Linked DNA regions of Alligator mississippiensis. Each later gene encodes a partner of the first gene's protein in a complex. Links are inferred from orthologs where the notes say so. Each region holds a gene or a part of one and is shown in the gene's direction. Other genes may lie near its edges.

What was found.
Region 2: POLR3E (region 1) and POLR3F share a complex: the UniProt entries of both Homo sapiens proteins name them as parts of the RNA polymerase III complex. The link is inferred for Alligator mississippiensis from reciprocal best matches to the Homo sapiens genes POLR3E and POLR3F.
Region 3: POLR3E (region 1) and POLR3G share a complex: the UniProt entries of both Homo sapiens proteins name them as parts of the RNA polymerase III complex. The link is inferred for Alligator mississippiensis from reciprocal best matches to the Homo sapiens genes POLR3E and POLR3G.

What each region holds. Positions count from the first base shown.
Region 1 is NC_081836.1:46,616,252-46,623,703, forward strand, and holds the start of POLR3E (DNA-directed RNA polymerase III subunit RPC5), read left to right. Parts: upstream 1-4,371; 5' UTR 4,372-4,479; intron 4,480-7,186; 5' UTR 7,187-7,226; coding exon 7,227-7,262; intron 7,263-7,452. UniProt on the Homo sapiens protein: DNA-dependent RNA polymerase catalyzes the transcription of DNA into RNA using the four ribonucleoside triphosphates as substrates.
Region 2 is NC_081824.1:231,047,866-231,055,669, reverse strand, and holds the start of POLR3F (DNA-directed RNA polymerase III subunit RPC6), read left to right. Parts: upstream 1-4,703; 5' UTR 4,704-4,792; coding exon 4,793-4,848; intron 4,849-5,428; coding exon 5,429-5,546; intron 5,547-7,804. Other genes in the region: DZANK1 (double zinc ribbon and ankyrin repeat-containing protein 1), read right to left, coding at 1-62, 3,278-3,431, 4,207-4,417. UniProt on the Homo sapiens protein: DNA-dependent RNA polymerase catalyzes the transcription of DNA into RNA using the four ribonucleoside triphosphates as substrates.
Region 3 is NC_081826.1:243,056,248-243,063,496, reverse strand, and holds the start of POLR3G (DNA-directed RNA polymerase III subunit RPC7), read left to right. Parts: upstream 1-4,148; 5' UTR 4,149-4,238; intron 4,239-5,127; 5' UTR 5,128-5,171; intron 5,172-7,013; 5' UTR 7,014-7,068; intron 7,069-7,249. Other genes in the region: acyl-coenzyme A thioesterase MBLAC2, read right to left, coding at 3,196-3,766. UniProt on the Homo sapiens protein: DNA-dependent RNA polymerase catalyzes the transcription of DNA into RNA using the four ribonucleoside triphosphates as substrates.

The sequences.
Region 1 (7,452 bases):
TTGTACTCCTGTAACTACTCTTTTACTTTTGTAACTGTCTGTACACTGTGAGAATTGTACTGCTTAACAACCTGGGTATACTTAAAGTGACACGCCATCGTCCCATGACGAAGGCACCTAAAGTAATAGGGTTCTTTTGCTATAAAATCCCATGTCTGTGTGGGACTGGATGTTTGTGACATGGTAGGCCTGATGGTCTGAACATGTCTGTCTGCTGCCTTAAAAATGTAGGATGTCCTTGGGAAGATGCTTATGTGCTTCCCTCCCAGGAGTTCCTGCTGCCTCCATTGCTTGACAGATGCCAAGATGCATTTCCTCAGCTTTCCCCACATTCTCTCTGGAGGGCTTTTTCTGTTTCCTCCTGGCCATCAGCCTTGCTGCTACTGTTGAAAATGTCCTACTCAAGGCTACTGTGCTCAAGGACACTGATAAAAGAAGATAAGGATCCTGTATTTACAGCAGTAGCAGGAAAGGAAATGTGACTGCATTATCTGGGCTGGGGAGAATGTCCTGGGGAAGAAATGTGTGTACTGGGAGGAAAAAGAGGAGAAAATGCAGCACTTTCCAGAGCTCCCTTTCCTGACTGCTGCTCTGGCCTTAGCATCAGCTGTGCTGGCAGTTGAATAGTGGGTGTCTGAGGAGAGGTTGTGGGGGTTTTAGTATCTCTGCCTTATCCTCACAGAAGGAGTATCCTCCTCTTTGATGCAGGGTGTGATGGTTTCCTCCTTGAGTTCCCTTTGAAAATTGTCCTTTGAAATGCTCACTTCCAGGAGCAGGTCTAGGGGCATGGAGCACCATGAAAAAGGGATGCATCGTGGGTGTCACTTGGCAGGACGACTCAAGCTATTTGCTTGCTGAAGGGCCTTGGCCTTGGCCCAGAAATCCTCCTTGTAGCCCTTTGCTTCCACGCCCTCCACATTTGCCCTGTATACAGTGTGGTTCCCCAGGAGCAGGGCTTGGACAGGCCCTTCTCCCACAGGCTGAGGAAATCCAGCACCTCCTTCCTATGCCAGGCAGGAGCACAGGGTTTGGATCTGTGTTTGTCCTTTATAGCAGCTTTACATGGCATGTTTGCCTGCTTGCATGTGCATGCTACCAGGGGCTGAGTATGTCCCAAAATTGCAGGATTTAGAGGGAGGAATTTAGACACTGGAATTGCTTTGGGATAGCTGCTAGACCTGGCACAAGAAAAGGACTGTCCACACATACTTCCTGTCAACTGCCACTGGTATTTGGGGAAGCTGACAGAAATCTGTGACTTCGTTACCATTTAGGCACTTTGAGCACAGATGTGCACACTGTTACTGAGAGAAGTGTTGACCAGGCTGAAACTGGTGCTTGCTGTACTCTTTCCAGCAGGAGTCAGTGGTGCCTGCTAGTGGCACTTCCAGAAGATGATGGGCTGTGCTCTGACCAGGGAGTTAACAAAGCATGACCCTGCTTCTGGGCAATAGAGGAAGGCAGTGGAGTACAGACAGGCTGGAAGGAACAGGACAGGGGATTGTGGGACTGATGATAGAGGAAGACTTCCTGCGCACAGCTATGCTGCAACCAGAGTTCAGAGGTGGGTAGCACCTGTGGGGTACAGCCTGTGAAGCCATAGATTATGGACTCATCTTGCACTCACCCTGGGATGCAGGTGTATTGGTGACTGGGTGAATCAGTCATGGGACAGGCATGGGCACAGGCCCAAGCTCACAGTGAAGTTCAATGTAAACACACACATGATCATGTGGCCAGGGGAGTTGACCTAACACCTGCTCTTCCAAGAAGCCCTATGGATCATTAGTGATCACTCAATCTGGGTCTCAGCTGAACATCCTTTCCAAGGGACGAAGTGCTCTTAATCCCCAGTTGCCCTTCCCAGGGGTAGATCGATTTTCCATCATCCTCTGCGAGGATCACAATGGGTACATCTACGTGTGCGCTTTAATGCGCAGTAGCCTATTTTACTGCACATTAAAGCAGGGCATAAAAAACTCTGCTATTATGCTAATGCATAGTAAAATAGGCATTATGCGCTTGTGTGAAAAGTGCAAATAATCTGGGAGCAATTCGCTTTAAAGTAAACTCCTGGGTATGCGGCTACACATGCAGGGATGCAGAAGCAGATCCTAACAGCAGACTGCTCCCACACCCTGTGGCCCTGCACTGGGCCTCTGCAACGGCCAGGGGGAGCTCTAGGCCCCCACTCCCCATCCTGAAGTGGAAGCTGGCAGCTCCAGCTGTCAGGGAGCTCCCCAATAAGGATCTCCCGGTCCCCACTCCCAGGCAGGCAGTACATAATAAGTAAGTAAGTAATCTTGACTGTTTGCTACTTGCATTTGCAGGTAGCAAATATACTAGTGATTAGAGCAAATTACTGTTCAATAAGCATCTGCACATGTAGATGGTGACACATGCAGTAATTAGCTCCTAATCTTAAGTGAAGGTGTCCAGTGTTACCTAAAACACATGCATTTGTGCTACTGCACATTAGAGCAGCCTAATGTGCTTTAATTGAGTACCTCACATTGAAGGGTGCCTGTACACGAGCCTGGAGGCCGCTTCAGTGCGTTGTAAGTAATTGACTCTGCTGGAACGTGGCAATGACTGTGTTCCAGCAGCCTCCCACATCTTGCGTATTGTGTCCCCTCGCTTCAAAATGGCAACAGGGGAGCGTGAACTAAAGCTTGTTAAACGGGCTTTAGTTCAAATGCCCCTGCTGCCATTTTGAAGTTCAGGGACACTGATACAGAAGCTGCTATGGCACTTTAATTAGAGCGTGAGCTGCTCTAATTCAAGCTCCCCACCCCGCAGAGCATGTGTAAAAGTGCCCCAAGGTGCTAAATTTAATGCGCATTAGGAAAAGTGCAGTATTGTATGCATAGGTGACTCATAAGGAGGTATGGGGGGGGCACATGCCCCCCCTGAGATTGGCTTCCACTTGCCACCCTCCCCGCTGCCACCACCGCAGCTTCTGCGGGCAGTCGCCACTTGCTGCTGCTGCCACTGGTGACTTCTGCAGCCGGCCACCAATTGCTGCTTGTCGCTGCTGGCTTCTGTGGGCAGTCACCCATCGCCGCTCGCTACAACCCCCACCCCTGCTGCTGACTTCTGCGGGTAGTTGCCACTCGCCACCCTGCGGCTGACACTGCCGCCTACAAATTGTGCCCCCCCAGTCTCAGAAGGCACCAGTCCTTCATGAATGTACATATAGGTGCGCCCAGCTTTAGGCAGCCCACACTGCTATTATTGAGTCTGGGATACTGGCAACAGAAATTGGCCTATCGTGCTGAAAGCCCAACTCCACCATGGCAGGAAGTACAAGTATGAGGGGCCTTGGGGGCATGAAATGCCAGAGCTGGAGACTTTTCAGAACAGCGCCCCCGAACAGCAGCTGGGTCCTTGTGGCAGACAAGTGACGGGAAGGTTTGGCTCCCAGTGGCTTCTGCCCAGCGCCCTTGAGAAACGCCAGAAGTTACTCCCCCTTTGGCATGGGTGACTGGTGCCTCCTGAATCTGGGGGGGCACCTGCAGAAGCTGCCGACCCTGTCAGGGAGGGCACCGGCCCTACCGACAGCATCAGTGTTGGCCCTTGAGGGGGGCACATGCACCCCCTATCAGTCACCTCTGCCCTTCGCGTGCGCGTGTGGTCTGTGCACTGCCTCCAGGAGACTTTCTGGCCCTCTACCCATGGGCATGAGCCTGCCCCTCCCTATGCCCCACATCCAAGTGTAGCCAGTGGTGCGCACTCCCTGCGCCTCAGTTTCCCCCAGCTGCAGAAGCGCTGGCAAGAAAGAAAGGACAGAGCCAAGGAGCCCTTGCATGTGAGCAGCACCCCAGGTAGCACACCCTGTTTCCCTTGAGTGTTGGTCCTGGGGGGCCCCCGGCTCTGCTCTGCCCCGTGCACAGAGGTGGGTCTCCAGCTGCCGCGGCAGAGCGCGGGTAGAGGCGCCGCGGACGAAATGCAACAAGGCCCAGGCTGAAGTTAGCAAAACTCGGGATCACAGCACAGCCTGGGGGCTGCAAGGGGACGGAGGCAGCAGGGGCACCGGGGAAACCCGGACAAGCTCAGGCTCTCTCAGCACAAGGGGAAATGCGGACAAACGCCGGTGGGGCAAAGCCTTGGCCACGCTGGCTCTAGAAGATAACACAGAGATAAGTGGGCCGCAGCAGACAGCCCCATCATCTGGGTAGCGTGGCCGAGCGGTCTAAGGCGCTGGATTAAGGCTCCAGTCTCTTCGGGGGCGTGGGTTCGAATCCCACCGCTGCCAGAACATTTTGTCCCTGCGCTCTTTCCCGGCCGCTCCGCAGCGCCGCCTGCCGGCCCGGCCCGGCCCGGCCCGGCCCGGCCCGCCGCCCGCAGCATTGTGGGTAAAAGGAGGTCCGGCCGGGCCTCCCACGTGTCTGCCGGAGTGGGAGCAACATGGCCGCCGCCTGAGAGCGCCCCGGAGCCGCACCGCGCTGAGGGGCCACCGGCGCCCGCCGCTCCCCGCAGGTAGGGATAGGCAGGGCCGGCCGCCGGGGCCCGGGGCGGGGCCGCGCCGCAGGATGGAGATCAGGCCCGGCTGACAGCGCCGGGCCGGGGTCCGCCGGATCCAGGCAGCGCTGGGCGGGGGTCGGGAGCCTGTCCCTGACTGCGGGGCTGGTCCCGCTTTTGGGACGCTTATTTCCCCCTGCAAAAAAATAAACATAAAAGCAGGGCCCTCGCCCCGCCAGTGCCCTGGGAAAGTGCTGCGGGGAGATGGAGGCCTCGGTGCCTGCCTGGCAGCCGGCTCCCTGGCTCAGGCACTGCTGCATCCTGGCTCACAGCAAGCCACCTCCGTCCTCCCAGCAGCATTTCTGCCTCCGACCCTCGTTTTGCCCCCTGCCCTCCCACCCTGCCTGGCATCAGGGTGCCGCGAGAAAGTAGGTTCTCCAGTTACCAAAAATGAAATTAAAAAAAGGTTTTGGCAGCAGGGAGTGGCAGGGTGCAGGCCGCCCCACCTGGGCCACAGGCCACATGGTGCCTGCTTTCCCTGACTCACTGACCAGGTGTCCTGGGGTGTGGCGGGGTTGTTTTCACCCCTAACGTGGTCACTAGCAGGGAGTGAGCGGAAGGGCCCGAGGGATTGTGCACGCCGCTACACAAATGCCGAGGCACTGAAAAGAGGTGCTTGCTTGATGAGGGACCTCCTTAAATCCCTGTAGCAGGGTCTGCCGGGCAGAAGTTACAGCACCCTGTGATGGGAGCCTTGCTGCACAACAAATCCCTGTAAGCTCCTTGGTCATTAGCAGGAAGTCCTCTTCCAAACCTGTTCATGGACAGGCCTGGTAAAGAGCCTGGTAAACATCATGTGGAATTGCCTTTCAGGGGCTTATGGAAAGCCTTTTAGCAGGCCCCGAGTTGCCGGATGCTAGCCAAGCCTGAGTTAAACAGGAGCAGCACCGGTATTTAGATGTGAAGCTCTTGAGGCAAACCTGGACGCTGCAGGAAATGATGCCAGTAACTCAGAAGGTGGCAGTCTCCCTTCGGTCCTGGGAAGGAGCCAGTGGATCAGTGGGACAGCGGTTCTCGGCCTTTTAGTACTGTGACACATGGCACTGGGAAATGTTTTGGGTTTCTCCCTATGTGTCCAGGGACTTCAGGAACATCTCCATGTACCCACAAAAGCAGAAATGTGTTACAGTCTCGGTGTTGCAGGGGACACTGTGCTGTTGGAGATGCTGTTTTTCAGAGAGACATAAAACAGGAGTCTTTGTTTTCTGATTGCTCAAGATCCCGAGGCTCACTTTTTGGGATACCCTAATATCCTGGCTCTGGTCATCTTTTTGGGTAGCTGGATTATATCTCTGTAAATGCTACCTGCAATTTCTGTTGGATATGATTTTTTTTTCACCTGTTCTAAAGTAGCTCGTGTTGCTGTCTGCATGTGTGTATCAGTGTCACATGTTCTCTCAGTTTAATTGACCAATAATGATTGGCACTTCTAGCCCCTTTTATGAATCCAAAACTGATATAAGACGACTTTGTGCTATCTATTCAGTTACAAATCAAGCATATTTATTTATATATCTCAATTTTTTTCTGTTATTCTTCTACTGTTCATGTATTTCTTTCTTCCTTTACTATATTTCTGTTGAAAAGGTTTCATACAGTTCTGTTTTTGTGTCTTTGAAATCCTTGAGTTTAGTTTAGCTTTCTTCACTATGGAAAGTTGCTTTTATGAATGTTATAAAACTGGTTTTGGTAACGATGCTTCCTCCCTATATGCTTCCTGCCTGTATTAGAAGTACTTCTAGTCATCTTTTAAAGGAATTGGAAAATTACTGGCACTTCTAATAACCAAGGGGTAGACACACAAAGGAACATCATGTAAAATACAGAACCAGTCCTTAGAGCAGGGACCAGAATGAGGGCCTTCTCCCGGCCCAGCAGTGGTCACACCAACACGCTACAGTCCTTCTGACTCTGGTTCAGTGAATCGTTAACTTTTTTCTAGAGAGTGGAACAGTTTTAAAAGGAGGGCTTGAGTGCAGCCTTTCATCAGTGTCCTGTAGCCTGGTAGTTAGGAAATGACAAGTACAAATCCCTCCGGGAATGGAGAGAATTTAACCTTGGTTTCCCACACCCTGGGAGAGGGTGTCCCACAACCACTAGGCTGAATCAAGCTCACTGCTTCCTGTTTCTTACAGCCCTGATCTCAGCAGTTGATACTGTATTTCCCTTGGCACTGTATAGCACGTAGTAAGGAACAGTCCTTGCCTTAAACAGTTTGTAGTTTAACTAGACCAGGCAGACAAAGAGTGCCTGCTTCCCCTGTTGTGAAGGGCAGAGTGAATTGACCAGGGCAGTGGAAGAGTTTGGGCTACAATCCAGTGTTTCTGAATCCTAGGCTAGGGTCCTTGTTATGGCAGTGCAAATCGTGCAATTGGATGGGGCCTTGAGCTGGTCGGAGCATTATGGTTATGGTGAACAGTAGAGACTGGCCAGAAACTATACAAGGCCACCCAAGTTAAGTGCCACAGCCATGCACCAGGCTGCTTCTCCTGTGATGCTTCTGCAGTTAACCACGCCTGTCACAACTCAGACATCTCTGGACTAAGTCCACAGCCAAGGTTCTGCTTTCCCCTGGATGGCAGCCCGTGAATACTCCTGTTCAGTAAGGGCCAGGGAACTAACTTTCACAGCCCAGGCTTGATGTGGTATTTTTCTTCTCTTTCAGATTGTGCTAGAGAGCCCAAGACAGCTTTTACCATTCTAGCATGGCAAATGAAGAAGATGACCCAATTATACAAGAGGTAGATATACACTGGACAACTGTGTACCTTTCCTCATATTTAGGTTTCTTAGCTTTTGGCTCTCCTGAAAGAATATCACTGAGCTGAGTTGCTGTCTGATGGTCAGTAAACAATAGCATACAAAAGATATGAGGATTCGGTGCACAGCCTGCATTTTCTCTGATCAGTGGCAAGTCATGCTCCGAGCCAG
Region 2 (7,804 bases), on another chromosome or scaffold:
TGTTTGGTGGCTTGTATTCTACCAAAAACATCTTTGTTACAATGGCACTTTCTCTGCAGTCCCTGAAAGTCAGTAAAAAGGTATACCACAAAATTATGTGCAGTAAAAAGTAAATCAACACTGAAAATAGGTCCTGTCTTGAAACTCCTCCTTCTGGACAGCAGACTACTATTTCATCAAACAAGCATAATCCCAGTCAAACAAACCACTGATATTCTAGGTATGATAAAATTCACCAATAAAAACGGATAGAAAAAAAATGGATACATTTAATACCTGTTCCTCTTTCACAAAAATCCTCTTTCACCTGTTCTTTGCTCCCAATATGCCTTACTAGTGATTACTAGGGTGCCATTCATTTGCATGAGAGAAGGCAGCATGCCCCCCATTATTTATAAGGATGTATGGTAGGGGAGTATTTATCTCCTACTTTGTATGACTACTTATAATTAGGGGTCCATAGTGCAGCTCTAAAAGCAGCTTAGGCCAGCACTCTCTGCTGCAACACACCAACATGTCACTGATACCTCAGCCCCGAAACCCAGGGAGTGGAACTTCCAAGTATGCTCCAACATCCACAAATGCTGAACAAGAAACTAGTGGCACCACGGCCAGGTCAATGCTTAAAATTCAAGCGCTAGAATTTTAATATTAGGAGACAGTGGGTGCGTCTACTCAAGATGCTTTATTGCACAGTAGAACAATTTACTGTGCAGCAAGATCCCAGGGGCAGGGATCAATCTCCCGCCCCCTGCTGCCTGGCTGACTGGAAGAAAATTTGTTCCCAGTCAGCCATCTACACATGCCTTACTATGCAGTAACTATGTAATTAATTTGCTACCTGCATTTGCTGTGGAGTAGACCAATGTATTGTGCAATAAGTGTCTGCCTGTGTAGACAGCTGACCAGGATCAAATTTGCTTCCAGTCAGTTGGGCAGCTGGCGGGGAGGAGGAGAGGGGGTGGGAGGAAGGGTGGATAACTCCCTGCCCCAAGGAGTTGCCTGCTGCCAGGGCGGGCTCCAATGGCAGAGCCTGGGCTGCGACAATGGTCCCTTGTCCCAGCAGCATGGAGCTCCTGGCTGTGGCTTCACAATTAGGGGCAGGGGGCTTGGAAAGAGCTGCAGAGGACAGGCAGGTCCCAGCCCCCTGCCCAATCCGTCGGTGGGGCAGCTATCAGTGAGCCTCCAGCTGGGCAAGGATTCCTTGCAAAGCCGGGGGTGGTTGGGAGCTGTCCCAGGCTCCTGACCTCATCTGCCAGTGGGGAAGCTAGCAGTGAGTTCCTGACTGAGTAGGGAATCCCCGCCAAGCTGGGGCTTACTGCTAGCTGCCCCACTGGTGGAACAGGGAGAAATCCCCACTCAGCTGAGGTTCACTGCTAGCTGCCCCACTGGTGGACTGGGGTAGGAGGCTGGGACCTGCCCCTCCCTTGCAGCAATTTCCAAGCCCCCTGCCCGCAGTTGTGGAGCCGGGGCTTCGAGCTCTCTGCTGCTGGGGCAGGGGAACACAGTCCCAAGCCAGGCTTCACCACTGGCGCCTACCCTAGCAGCAGACACCTCCCAGGGGCAAGGAGCAGTCTCCCATCCCCCACCAGGAGACAGCTGTCTCCTGGCCCCATGCTCTCTGCCAGCCCCTGGGCTTGTACCCAGTGGGAGCCTAAAGTTTCCCCTGGCTGCTTCAGGGGGCCAAACCAGGGTGGGAGCATCCTTCTCTGGGCTGCTCTGTTTGGGAGCAAATCTGGTCCCAAATGCCTGCAGATGTAGATGCCTACCCAGGGTGGGTTTCCTCCACAGTAAATTACTGTGGAGTAAACCCATCTAGCATCATTTGCATGTGTAGATGCACCCAGTGTGATCTAGTGAGGCTTGTGGGGCTGGGATTATGAACAACTAGCCTTTAATCTATTACTAATCTAGTAGATGGCCTTGAGCAGTATGCTTTGGGTCTGGACAGACATAACACTAAGAATAGTTTACATGCTGTTTAAACCTGATAGACATACTAGTCTGTTAAACCAATTTTAAACTGCCTGGAATGGTTCAGATGAGTACCTGGAAAATCAAGTACTCTTTTGAACTGGTTCACTGTGAACTGCGTCAATGTTATTTGTGGAGTCCAAGTTGTCCATGATTCAGATTGGTGGGGGTTTCCATGGTCTAAGCACCCAACACTGCATCACTTCTCATCCCCTCTCCCCTCTGCTGTAACTTTCTGCTCTGGTATAGGACCAGAATTCTACTGCCCCTTCTTTTTTCTTTTTGTTGGCACTTTTTACCACATTTATAGGGCACTGCTGGTTTAATGAAAGCTATTTTTCTAGCAACCAGCTGTGCCCTTATCCCCTACTCAGCCATGGTCCTTCATTATGCCCCCTCCGGGAACGCAAAAATATGGATCCAAGCACTCCCCCTCTCCCCAACAAGGCAGGTAAGCACACTGCAGACTTTGGTCAAGTGCACGCTACTGAACTTTCATGTTTAGGAGAAAAGGGAAAGCAAAAAAGTGAACCACAATCACAGGTCATTCACCCCTTAGGATCCTCAAAGCATGGGTGTAAGCACTCTTCTCCCATTACTTGCCCAATGTGAGGCAGGCTGGGCTGAGTGCTCACTCCCATCCTCTGGTGTTGGAGCTACAGTTCTTCAATGGCTAAAAGGTAATCCTTCTACCTGGAAGGCTAGGGCACTGTACATGCCAACATCTCTGACTCATGACAATTGTGAACCAGTTCCCAATCAGTGACATTTTTTTAAATGGTTCAATTGTTACATGCCCACACCCACAAAAACCTGGAAAGACGGACTTCACAGAAACTTGGAAAGACTGCTCCCGTCTCTGGATTGCCATGTGTAAAATGGGAAAAGGAATATTAAACTACCACACAGCATTAGTGGGAAAATGTGTTAGCTCATCTTTTGAAGTGGGCTCATTAAAAGTAAATTATTAAGAAAATAAAAACTATTATACAAATGTATTTATGATGAAAACTTTTCATGGCAAGATTCTATAGTGCCTAGTGAAATTGGGCCCTCATCCATGACTACTGCCCATGGCAAGTAATTAGTAAATACTAATAAATGTGGTGGCAAACTGATATCAATGAAAAGGAATCCATACAAGGTACTTATATTGTAAGCCTTGTGAGGCAAGGAGTATCTTTCATTCTGTATTTGTACAGCATCTGGCACAGGGTAGTCAAGATCTCTGACTGCCATTCTCAGGCACTGCTGCAGTATAAATAACAACAACAACAATATAAGATAGACAGTTGCTACTTACATTGTGACTGCCGTAGCTCTGACCATTATTTTCCCATCAGGCAAGGTGATAGGTCCCTTATACTTAAAAGTGTTATGCTCTCCATAGCCAGATTTTCTAAAGAGCTCTGGTTTACTTCCATCTAAAGTGTAGTATATGGTGACATCAGGGGTATCTGCAAGACACAAATAAGATATGCATTAAAACTATATTGGGACTTTGCAAAAATAAGGAAGGTCTAGTACTGCTGAGGCTTGCATATGCTTAATTACTCATCTAAGCAAAATTAAGCAGGTGTGCAAGTGATTGCAAGGCCTGGACTATATCAATTTTTAAGCCTCACAAAATTCAGCAACAAAATAGTTGGACAATTTCATCACAGGGATTTCCCTTCTCAGAAGATAACTGTAGAGCAGGTGATCTTGTATGAAAACAAACACTGGTTCTAAGTCTTGCACGTTCTAATGTGAACATGGATTATGGTTGAAAAATAGAAACTGGAATTTCAGAACTGGCAGATATGACCTTTGGAGAAGAACTGACGAGAAAGTCCCAGTTTTGAAAAATTGTAGCATACTGCAAAATCATCAAACGCCCAGGTTTTCATACTACACTGTGATTACAGAACAAACACAGCATCACTTCAAATGGAAGGAGGACAAAAGTAGTGGAATTAAAGGCCCTGATCCTGCAAATACAGACACCTATGATTTACCATACAGTTTACACTATGTGAATAGCGCTGTTCACTACAGTCGGACTACCCACGCGTATAAAGCACAGGTGTGTTTGCAGAATTAAGACCCATAAAATTTATGCTGGTCACTTAAGAAAATGGGTACCCGTGAAAAAAGGTGTGAATACAAATGCAGTATCAAAAAGCATGGACATCAATTTGCAGAAGAAGAGGAGAAGAGCTTCCACTATAGACTGAAAGCTGCTGTTTGTACCTGACTTAATTTCAACGAGGGTATTTGTATCTATTTCATGTTTCGCCTTCCGGGCAAGAGGAAGCTGAAGCGGTATAATCTGAGGCACGAGGACGGAACCAGCAGTCATTTTTTCCCTCTGTGTGGACACCTGAAAAACAAAACAGCATATGACTTTTAAAATGAACATGTGAGTGAGGGGGCACGTGTGTGCGCACACCCTTGTGTGCATGTGCATGAACACACCTACATGTATGTGCACACCTCCACACTCCCCTGCACACACATACGCATCCCCCTCACCCCCCGCACGCAGGCGGGCGAGGCAGATAAAAGCGCAGCGAAATGCCACCCCCCGGGCCTTCACCCTCTCCGTCGCCCCCCGTCGCCCCGCCGTTACCACGGACGCTCCCCGCCAAGCCCCGCCCCCCCGAGGCAGCAGCCTCTCATTGGTCCGCCGCGCGCTCCCTCTCAACCGGCGCCCGTGGCGTTCGGTGAGGGTGGAGTTTGTGGTTAGCGTCATCAGTGCGCGCCGCACGGCCCTGGTGTCGCTGCCGGGGAGTTGTGCGTGGGGAGCGCGGAGGCGTCCCTCTCCTCCCCCAGCGCCATGGCCGAGGTCAAGGTGAAGCCCGAGGTCCCGGACCCGCTGGACGTAGAGAACAGGTGCCGGGCGGGCCCTGCGGTGTCTCTGGCGGGGCGGGTACGGGGCCATGGGGGAGCCCCGCACTGGGGTGGCCGTATTTCCATTTTAAAAAAAGAAGGTACCTGTAGGTGGGGGGAGGGATATATGATGGAGGGGGCGATAGTGACATGTCCGTGCCCTGCCCCTGGTCCTCACTTCTAACCCACAGCCCCCTGCCCCACCCCCCCAGCCTTCCTGTGCCCCTCACTCCTGATCTGCAGCTCCCTGCCCTCCCACCCCAGGCCTGCTGCCCCCAACTCCCTTGCCCTGCTGCAGCCCCAGTGCTAGCAAGCAGGCAGGCACACTCCCCCCCCCCCCCCCCCATCTGCACCCCTGCAGCTGCTGGGGCCCGTGCTCAAAGAACTGGTGACCAGCCTCTACTCAACTTTCCCCGCTGCTGGGACAAGCCGGGGAGAGCAAAATCCCAGACACTTGCTGATATTTAAAAAAACTGCCTAGATAGAGATAGGAGGACCCAAAAACAGGACATGTCCAGGAAATGTCCGTGGTAACGTATGGTAACCCTAACCCACACTGACTCCTCTTCCTCATCCCACTCAGGATCATCGAGCTCTGCCATCAGTTTCCCCACGGCATCACGGATCAGGTGATCCAGAACGAGATGCCCCACACGGACGCCCAGCAGCGGGCCGTGGCCATCAACCGGCTGCTCTCCATGGTAGGGTTGCATCTGCTTGGTGGGGGCACCAGCCCATCCCCTCACAGCTTCCCTGCCTGCACCCTTGCTTCCTAAGCAGGTGTGGCTTTAGGGCTGGGCCTGGCCTGCTCACTTTTTTGGACTGGCTAGAGCAGAAAACGTGTTTTGTTCAGTGTTAGCAGCAGCTTACTGCTATTCTTCTTTAGTGCAGGGATAACACAGTTGGGTCTGTTGGGGCCGAGGGGCTGTGGCCAGCAGCCCGGGCACGTAGGCCGGGGAAGTCGGCACGGCGGACTAGAATTAGGCACTGACGCGTGGAGGTTGATTAAAGATTGTTTTACTTACACTGTAGATGGTCGCAGTGCAGGCAGGAAAACTTGCTTGGTTACAGTTGTAGATAGAAGAAAAGAAAAAAAACTCGAACGATGAGAGCTCTCTGAACCTATACGAGAGTCCGAGCTGTGACTCTCAACGAGCATGCAGGGTAGGGATACGTCAGGGATTGTTCGGTGACGGGGAGAGACTCTTGATGGCTGATCAAACCACCATTCGGTCCGAGATTTACGTAGAAATCCACGAGATAATCGTGGACTCCTTGCCGGAATTCTCTCGGATTTCTCCCGGAATTCTCGGAATCAGGGTTCTCAGGATCCTCCTGAGATTCTCGGAGATCTCCGACTTGGGCGGAAACTGCTCAAGCCTCTTATACGGCTAGCAAGCCAATCGCTAGCCGCCACGTGGAAATAATTTAGAAACAGCCAATAGTGGGACACAAATTTACATACGGGTGGCGGGAACTCCTTTGCACCGGGGTTTTCTCTCTGCAGCTGAGAATTGCACTGTGCAAAGAAAGCTCCCGACGGCGGGAAATAATTCTGCAGTGCCGAAGCGCACACACAATCATTGGGTCATGACAGGGTCGTTAAGCACATTTATTCCCTTGGGAGACTAAGTGGAAGTCAAGATCCACTGACATCAAAGGAAGTTTTGCCACTGGCTTCAGTGGGACCTATATTTCATTCAAATTCTACCAGATTCAGGATTTGAAGGCTGATTTTTATTTAGTTTTGAGCTTCTCTCTGACCTCTTTATCTGCTTTAATTTTAGTTGCATTTGTTATTCTGTAACACCCACATAACCAAGTATAGCTGCACAGGCTCAAATAGCACCAGCCAGTATTATGCCGAAGTGGTGACCCAGGTTCCTTGCATTCCTCCACAGTGAACAGAGCAGCTTCCCTGAGAGCATTTGTGATGGTGAAATCCCATGCCTTGATCTTGTCATAATAATAACAAGACCTTTTGCTAGAAACGTGGCCAGACTTATGGCTCAATGTAGAAAAAGATGTCCACACTAAATATTAGAAGCAAAAGGTCGCTGTTGAATGTATCCTGTACTCATCTTTTTGTTCCAAGGGTCACATGTATGGTGTGTGGGCCGCGCCCCGATCCCACCTTTCTCGCCATGTGCGGCGGTGATTCCGATCTCATTCCCGTCGCCATGTGCGAGCCGGGGGCAAGCCGGGCCCGTCTTTGTTGCACACGGGCTGTGGCCGGCAGCCCAGGCACGCGGGGCTGGAGAGAACCGCAGGGCGGTTTAGCGCACGCGAGTTAGAATTAGTTATGGAGGCATAATGGTTGATCGAAAAGATTGTTTACTTACACCCAAAGATGGTATTGGTGTAGGCTGGATAGGTTTCCAGGCACAGCTTCCGCTTGGATCCTCACTAGAGGAACACCACAAATCGATTGCTCCCACAGAGTTGCTCAGGCTCCGCGGGTCCGGTTCGGTTCCCAGGTCTCCTGGAGCTGTTAAGACTCCGTGGGTTCGAAAATTGGGTTTGGTTAGGTTCGAAAAGTTTCCCCGGAGTTACTTATGCTCCGCGGGTCCGAAGTTACAGGAAAGGGATACGTCTAGGATTGCGCTCAGTGATGGGGAGCGGCGAGAAGCGAAAGCTCCGTAGGCTCGGTTCCATTGCCTCTATTGCCTGCTTAGGGGAGGCGCGTTGGGTCCGCAGCGCTTGGAGATCTTCACACAGAATCTCTCTCATCCTCCCTCCTCCGGCTTGGGCGGAAACTACCCAAGCCTTTTGTACGGCTAGCAAGCCAATCGCTAGCCGCCACGTGTGCCTACATTAGGAATGGGCCAATAATGTGGCACGGATCCTAATACAAATGGCGGGAACTTCTTTACAGCGTGTATCACTATGATGCAAAAGAAATGCACACTGCAAAGAAGATATAATTTGGCGGGAAATCCCCCGTTGCACCAGAGTTCTC
Region 3 (7,249 bases), on another chromosome or scaffold:
ACAGGTGACTACCGAACTTGTAATAAAATTTAACACACCTGAATGACTCCTTTACACTTTCGTGAGATAAAAATGTTGTTTCTTATATGTAGTGGGCAACTCACATAAACCTTTACTATCATCTAAATATTTTAAAGCTAAAACCTTTAACGTAGAGATGCCTATATCCCCAACTTTATAGAGCCAACAACTCATTTCTGTAGTGAAGACCTATTCAAAAGGAGGAAAAACTGTACTGCTCTCAAGGATTTTTTAACTCTAACTTTAATCAAATATTTCTCCTGTACATTTTATAAATATTACCTAAAAGAAAGAGTTACCTTGAGTTTCATTTTGATTTTATCAAAATGAACTGAAGAACCTACCCTATATCATGCAGTAAAACAACTAGATAATTTTGAAATAGTCAGTGCTACAGCAATCTAGGTTGGCCTATATCCATGCTGATGTTTGAAAATATATCACAAATAAAACAACACTATTTCTTATGGTTGCTTTTATTTCCATACTATAAAAAGGGGTACATTAGTGCCATAAGAGAAGAAAAAAGGGTATCTGGCTCTCTCAGAAATCTTCACAATTAAAAAACATCAGAAATAGAATTTCTTTAACTGCTGAGGTAACGTTAATTGCTTCCTTTGCTTTAGGATCAAACCAGAGAAAACATATCTATAAACAAATGTGTGCCTGTATCTGCTGGATTCTTTCAGTATGGGAGAGGGAACCGAAATGTAAGTCTCAGATTTTCCTTACCTTTGTCATCAAAAAATAGCTGAAATACTGAGTATACATGCATATAGTTGCATTAATCTCTCTTAAGACATGAAGGGACAGACATAACCATACACTCAATAGAAGATTATCATCCTGTCTGGTCCAAATTGCTGTTGACTGATAGAGAATTCTCTCCTTGGGTGCAGATTCTATTGCCCATTAGTGAAAAAGCTTCCTGTAACAACCCTGACAAACTGGAAAACCACACAATTCCTGGCAGTCATCCCCAGCCACTGATTTGCCTGCTTCCCACGGGACAACAAAGTAATGTTTTTATTTGACTAGCTCAAGGAAAGTATTATTTTCTTTGTCACTTCCACAGAGAGATGAAAAATTAAGATTCTGAAGAGCGTTGAAAATGTTTGTCTTCTACATCTAGTAACATAATTCCCTCCAATACACCCGATTCATAATTTCCTTCAATACACCTAATATGCCTGATCTTCCACTACCCAATATCCGGAGCAGCTGTTTACATGTTGTGGTATAAACCATTACCAAAATCAGTATTCTCCACTGACTTGAGGTTGTGACATTTTATTTGTTCTTTGCACTGCTGTAAAAGGCCAGATAAGACCAAGGCAGAAAAGAATCAGGTCTCTAATCTGGAAACTAAGACAAGTTTGTGCCTACGTGCTCTACAGAGATTCACTACAAACATACAACTTGATGCAGCCATTATAACTCTGCTGATCAGGTAACAGACATCAGTGAAGTAGATGCCAATATAATTGCCATTCTTTATATTTAAAGACTATATACAGCAAATACCAATAATGCAACCAGAAACTATCCTGGTATGCATTCAGATGCATATAAACGCACCCCAGCCTATATGGCTGATATTAGATGTAGAAACAAGAACTGCAGTAAATGTCCAAGAGGTGTGGGCACACAAAAACACAGAGGCAATACATACAAACTTCTGACAGGCAACCACGCAGGTGCACTGCCCTATGTTGAGACAGATGTGCACTGTCCCTGTGTGCAAGTGGGACACACAAGAGGCAGCAGCGCAGGGCAGCACCTTATACACTAACTCATTCAAGGCATAGAGCACTAGGTGCAGAAGGACCCTGCAGGGGCACATGAATACCAGCAAAATGGCCTATACGGCTGGTGTGCCTGTGTATAGGGGCAACTGCTCCCGGCAGGCTCAGTGCCCCGGGACTGGATCAGTGCTTACCTGGAAGCCCAGATGTGTTTGCACCTAGGTGCTGTACAGACAAGGTTATTTGGGTGAATATGATATTTTTTATTAAACCAGTTAAAGAGTTGGAAAATTGTTCTTTGCAAGTTTCCAGGTACAAACACCCTTCTTCAGGCACTGGGAGAGTCTGGCATTTCTTCATATGCTGTTCTGCGTGGAATCCAACTGGTCTAATAGAAGATATCACAACTCTTGGGGAGGTGATTTATTTTGCAACGATCTAGGTGGTCTAGTAAAAGATATTGCCTCCCCAAGGGTTGCAGACTAACATGGCGACAACCTGTTTTTGTTTTTTCATAATTTTTGTATTCCAAGCCAAATTGGCCAAAGCATTTCCAAATCCGTGAGTCAGTCCAGAACCCAAAGTTGCCTTACTATCGGCAAATATCCTCCACCCCCACCTGGGGCTTCAGATGTTCCCAAATCCTTTGGCGGGCATCCTGTTTGCAGGCCCAAGCCCAGAGACTTGGGGACCCTGAGTTTTGCTTGCCCTTAGCTATAAGACCCCAGGAGCAAGCTAGGGAGGAGTCTCTCATTTCCATAAAGTAGGCATAAAGCCCAGGTTAACTGTGCATTACCTACACGGGTACTACCCCATGCCAGCAAAGCAGTCTTTCCTGAGTGCGACTAGGAAGCCATGGTGGTGATCGTGGTATTTCCCCTAGGTAAGCACAGACTATGCCTGATCTGAGCCCACAAGAAGCCAACAAGCCACGCAGCTACAACCTGTACCCCTAATAAAAGATACCCTACTGACCCCAAGGACCTCGTCTGCCCACGTCCTTAGACCAACACGGCTACAACCAACAACCCTAGGCATAGGGCTACCAACTCTCCTTCAGTCCATTCCCGCAGGTGTTATCACCTGACCTCATGACATTACTGACTTGACACCAGGAAGGCACACGCACATTACTACTACATTTTAGACACCAGCAAAACTACTAGATACATCCGATTCAACATTTAATAATATTAATGTTAACGCATTCCCTCTGGTTTCTCTCCCGGGTAGCAGTCTCCTGGAGGTTTGCATCCAACTCCTGCAGACTCCAGGGCGATCCTGGGGGGCTGGCACCCCACCCAGGTGCTCTCCCCGTCGTCCACCAGACGCACCGACCCCTTCTCGGCCCCCCCACAGCCCGGGGGGCAGGCGCGCCACCCGCAGCGCCGCCCCTGCCTCCCTGCAGGCCGGGCCGGGCCGTACGCACCCTCCTGCAGGACGTGCGTGGGCTGCACGGGCGGGACGCGGAAGCTCCGCGCGGTCCAGCCGGGGCCGGGCGGCCGCACCACTTCGCGGTCCGACAGCCACGTCACCGCCTCGTAGTTGTCGCCGCGCTGCAGGGCGCCCGCCTCGGCGCCGTGCACCGCCACCTCGGCGAACTGGTGCAGGCCGCCCGCGTGGTCGAAGTGCACGTGGGTGGCCACGGCCAGCAGCGGCCGCCGGCCCCCGCCCGCCGCCTCGTCGTCGGCGCCGGCCTCCAGCAGCCCGGCGGCGCGGAGGTAGTCGGGCAGGCTGCGCAGCCCCAACCCCGTGTCGATGACCACGTCGCGCTGCGACCCGCGCACCAGCCAGATGTTGGCGCGGTTGCCCGACTCGTAGAAGCGCTCCTGGATCCAGTAGATGCCGCCGCCCAGGGCCTTGTGCGCGAACCACTCCAGCGCCGACATCCCGCCTGCCTGCCTGTCCCCCTTCCCCGGCGCGGCGAGGGGGGCGGGGCCGGAGGTGGTGGCTGCGGGCGGGCACGGCCCTGCCCACTGCAGCAGCCGGGGTGGCCGCATGAGTGGCGGCTGCGCTGCCGCCTGATGCAAGGGGCGCAGCGCTGGGCGGGGGGCCTCGCCTCGCTTCGCCTCTGGGAACAACCCCCGGGCGCCCTAACGCCGGAGCTCGAGGCCGCCTACCCGGGGGGAGGCAGCGTCCACTGGACTCCTTGGAGGGCTGCTCCGCTCCGGGCCGCCCTTCCAGATCCCTGGCTTTGAACCTCTGACCCCGTTCCCTTCCCTGCTTTCCTTTTACTTTGCTCCAAGGAATTAGTGGCCGCTGTCTCAGTAGCCTCTTTTTCTCCGGGGGCGTTGGCCCACGACCCCTTCTCGCAATAGCAAGTGGGCCGGTGGGTGGAGGGACGAAGCCGCTTGAAGTTGAGGCTTTCAGATCAAGTGACCAAGTGCGCGGGGCTCATTTGCCCGTGCGGTGCTCTGGGCAGGTGCCCCTGGTGTACTGGTGCTCGCGGTTGCCTTGCAAACGTGGGAGGCGGTAAGTGGCCAAGTCCCTGGCAAATGACTCTCATCTTTCAGGCCAGGCCAAAGTGCTGATCTGTCAAAAGGTTTTGTGTTAGGGTAGCTTGTGCCTGTTCCCAGGTTCTCCCAAGGGGTTCTTCACCAGTGGGTGCCTGGGGCAAAAGGGAAGGGCCTTGCCACACATTCAAACAAAAACTGGATAGAAACCAGCTACAGACTTGTTACACATTGTCAAGTGCTAACTTTATAGCGGGTTGGCTCTCTGTAGAGCTGTGTAGTCCTTTTGATTGTGTGATGATTACTTTGCACGTGTGGTGGGTCTAATTTATTGCCTGATTCACCAGTTAGTTGTGTGATAATTACTTTGTGCTTGTGCTTGGTTTTACTTTGTGTGTGTGTGTGTGTGTGGCGGGTCCAAATGTATTGTGCAATTCACCAGTTCGTTGCGCGATAATTACTTTGCGCGTGTGGCCTGTCTTGCTTTGCACATGTGGCTGGTCAGAATTTATTGTGTGATTTGCCAGTTAATTGCATGATAATTACTTTGCACTTGTGGCCAGTCTGGCCACACCTACAATGTAAGTCTAAATTTATAGTGCAATTAACCTGTTCATTACCTAATATGTGTAACGTGTAGCAGGGGCTAAGTGGTTAATTGAAGTGATTTTTGTTGTTTTTATTTTTTTGGGCTCCCATAGGCTTAATTGTCAATCTGAAAAACCTCTTTCTGAGTGTGCACAGAGTGATATTTGGTGCCTCTGCTGCCGCTTTTAGCTTTCCAGAGCAAGCTTTAATGGAATGAAAACTGATACGAATTTTAGCTTAAATACTCCTCTTTGGAACTCATTTTGATCAGCTATAAAACTAAAGATAACCACATGTTTTTGTTTCTCTTGCTGCTGCAGAAATCCATGAACAGCAGCAGAGATAAAAGAAGCACATTCACAAGGTAAATTGGTAACAACTATTTCCTTTCCTGCAGCATCTTGGAGCCTTCGTGGTGTCTGGAGATCTGGCTTATGTACAGTTATTACATTTCTAGCAGCTAGAGTATATTAAAAATGGAACTGGGAACAGGATGTTGGCAGAGGTGGTTCCAGAGAAAGCGCAGTGGTTCTGTTGCACTCCCCTCCCACCCTTTCAAACCACACTGTGGGACTAGCAGCCAGGGACATTTTTAATTCCCTGAAGCAGGTAAGAATCCCTATCCCCCTCTTTCCCTCCATGCTTAGTGGTATGTCCACTTCACCCCATTCCCCTTCTTCCCTGCCTGCTACTATCCGGGAATAGGGGAAGCTCCAGAACCTCTCCTGCCCCATTCTAGCCAGGCTACATGGAAGTCAGGCTTAGCAGGGGACAGCAGCAGTGGCGGTGGGTGGGTTCCCCCTCCCTGAGCTTGTTCCTGAGTTATCAGGGAACACTTAGGGGACCTTGCACAGAGAGAGAACCTGTCCACTGCCACTGTCTCTGGCTGAGCACAATTGGAGTGGGGCAGGAACAGCTCTGGAGCTCCCCTTGTCCCCAAGGTCAGCTGGGGATAGCAGCAGCTTGAGCGGGGAAGGAATGGGAAGGCAGGAGAGGTGCTGTTAAGCACAGGTAAAGGGAGGGGATGCCAAAAGTGGGTGTGGGGAGGCAAGATTCTTACCTGATTTGGGGACTTAAGAAAAAGTCCTCAGCTGCTCTTCCCACTGTGTGTCCTACCCAGGGTACAGCCACCCCTCTAGTGCCAGTCGCTGGTCCCACACCCCTCTTTACAAAATCCTGGATCTGTGTATAGCTAGGGACCACAATCCAAGCTGTCCGTGTCCTACCCCCCCCCCCCCCCCAAGGGCTTGGTGACGAAGCTTTTTACGTGGACAATGGCATGTTTCATTTTCATGTTGTCCCCTTAATAAATTTTTGGTAATTTTTTTCAAGCCAGGTGTGTGAGACTTGATAAGAGGAGGTGTTTGGATAAAGCAGGTATTGGTGTATGTGGGTGGGATGAGTATGGAACAAACAGAAACTGAAGGAGTAGAGATAGTGGCAGTCACCTTTCATCAGCTCCATCAGGTGTGAAAGCTGCTTGCTCTATCTTTCAGATTCATATCCGGCCACCATTACCCATGCTTTTGTAACCTTGAGGCTAGATTAATACTTTAATGCACTCTATGTGGGATTGGCTTTAAGGACCATCCGGAAGCTGCAACTGGTGCAGAATACAGTGGCCTGCTTTCAGACATGGCTGGGTCCCCAGGAGCACATTACTCCCATACTTCCAGAGTTAGTACTGGCTTCCTGTAGTTTTCTGAGTGCAATCTGAGGTGCTGGTCATGACCTATAAAGCCCTACATGTCCTGAGTCCTATATACCTAAGGTAGGTAAGACCATTATGATCCCTAAAGTCAGCCGAGAATAGCCTCTTGCAAGTACCATCAGCACATCAAGTCTGCTTGGCCAAAACACATGGGCCAAAACATCATTCTCAGATGTTGCTCTTCAGCTCTGGAGCTTTCTCTCCCTTGACGCCTCTAGAGTCTGCCGCCATTTAAAGGTGGCATAGGATCTTTTTCATTTGGACAAGAATTTAGCAGGTGGCATTCAGCTGTGTGTATTATTTGGGGAATTGTTTTGCTTGATTAATTTTTATGACTGTCTTTGTAAGTTGCCCTGAGCTTTTGTGGGGAGGGCAGTGGCATAGAAATCAAATAAATAAATGAAGTATAGGGGAGTGGAGGGAGACTTAACACAAAGAGAAGGAACAGGCTGTAAATATAAATAGTACATAACAGTTTATTCCTTTAAATTGTAGGGGACTGTGGCACCACAAATATTTTTCATGCTGGCTTAACCCTCAAGGGCATCAGGTATTTTTTCTTTGTTTGTATAATTTTAAACCTCTAAAATCTACCTTTCTTTCTCTGATATCACCCCTTGCCCCCACCAAAACCACCCGCCCTGAAAATTCATTTTAAGGTTGAAAATAATCAAGAGAGATTTTGTTATAAAGGATAACTTACTTAAGGATGGGTTATTTGAAGCCTCTGT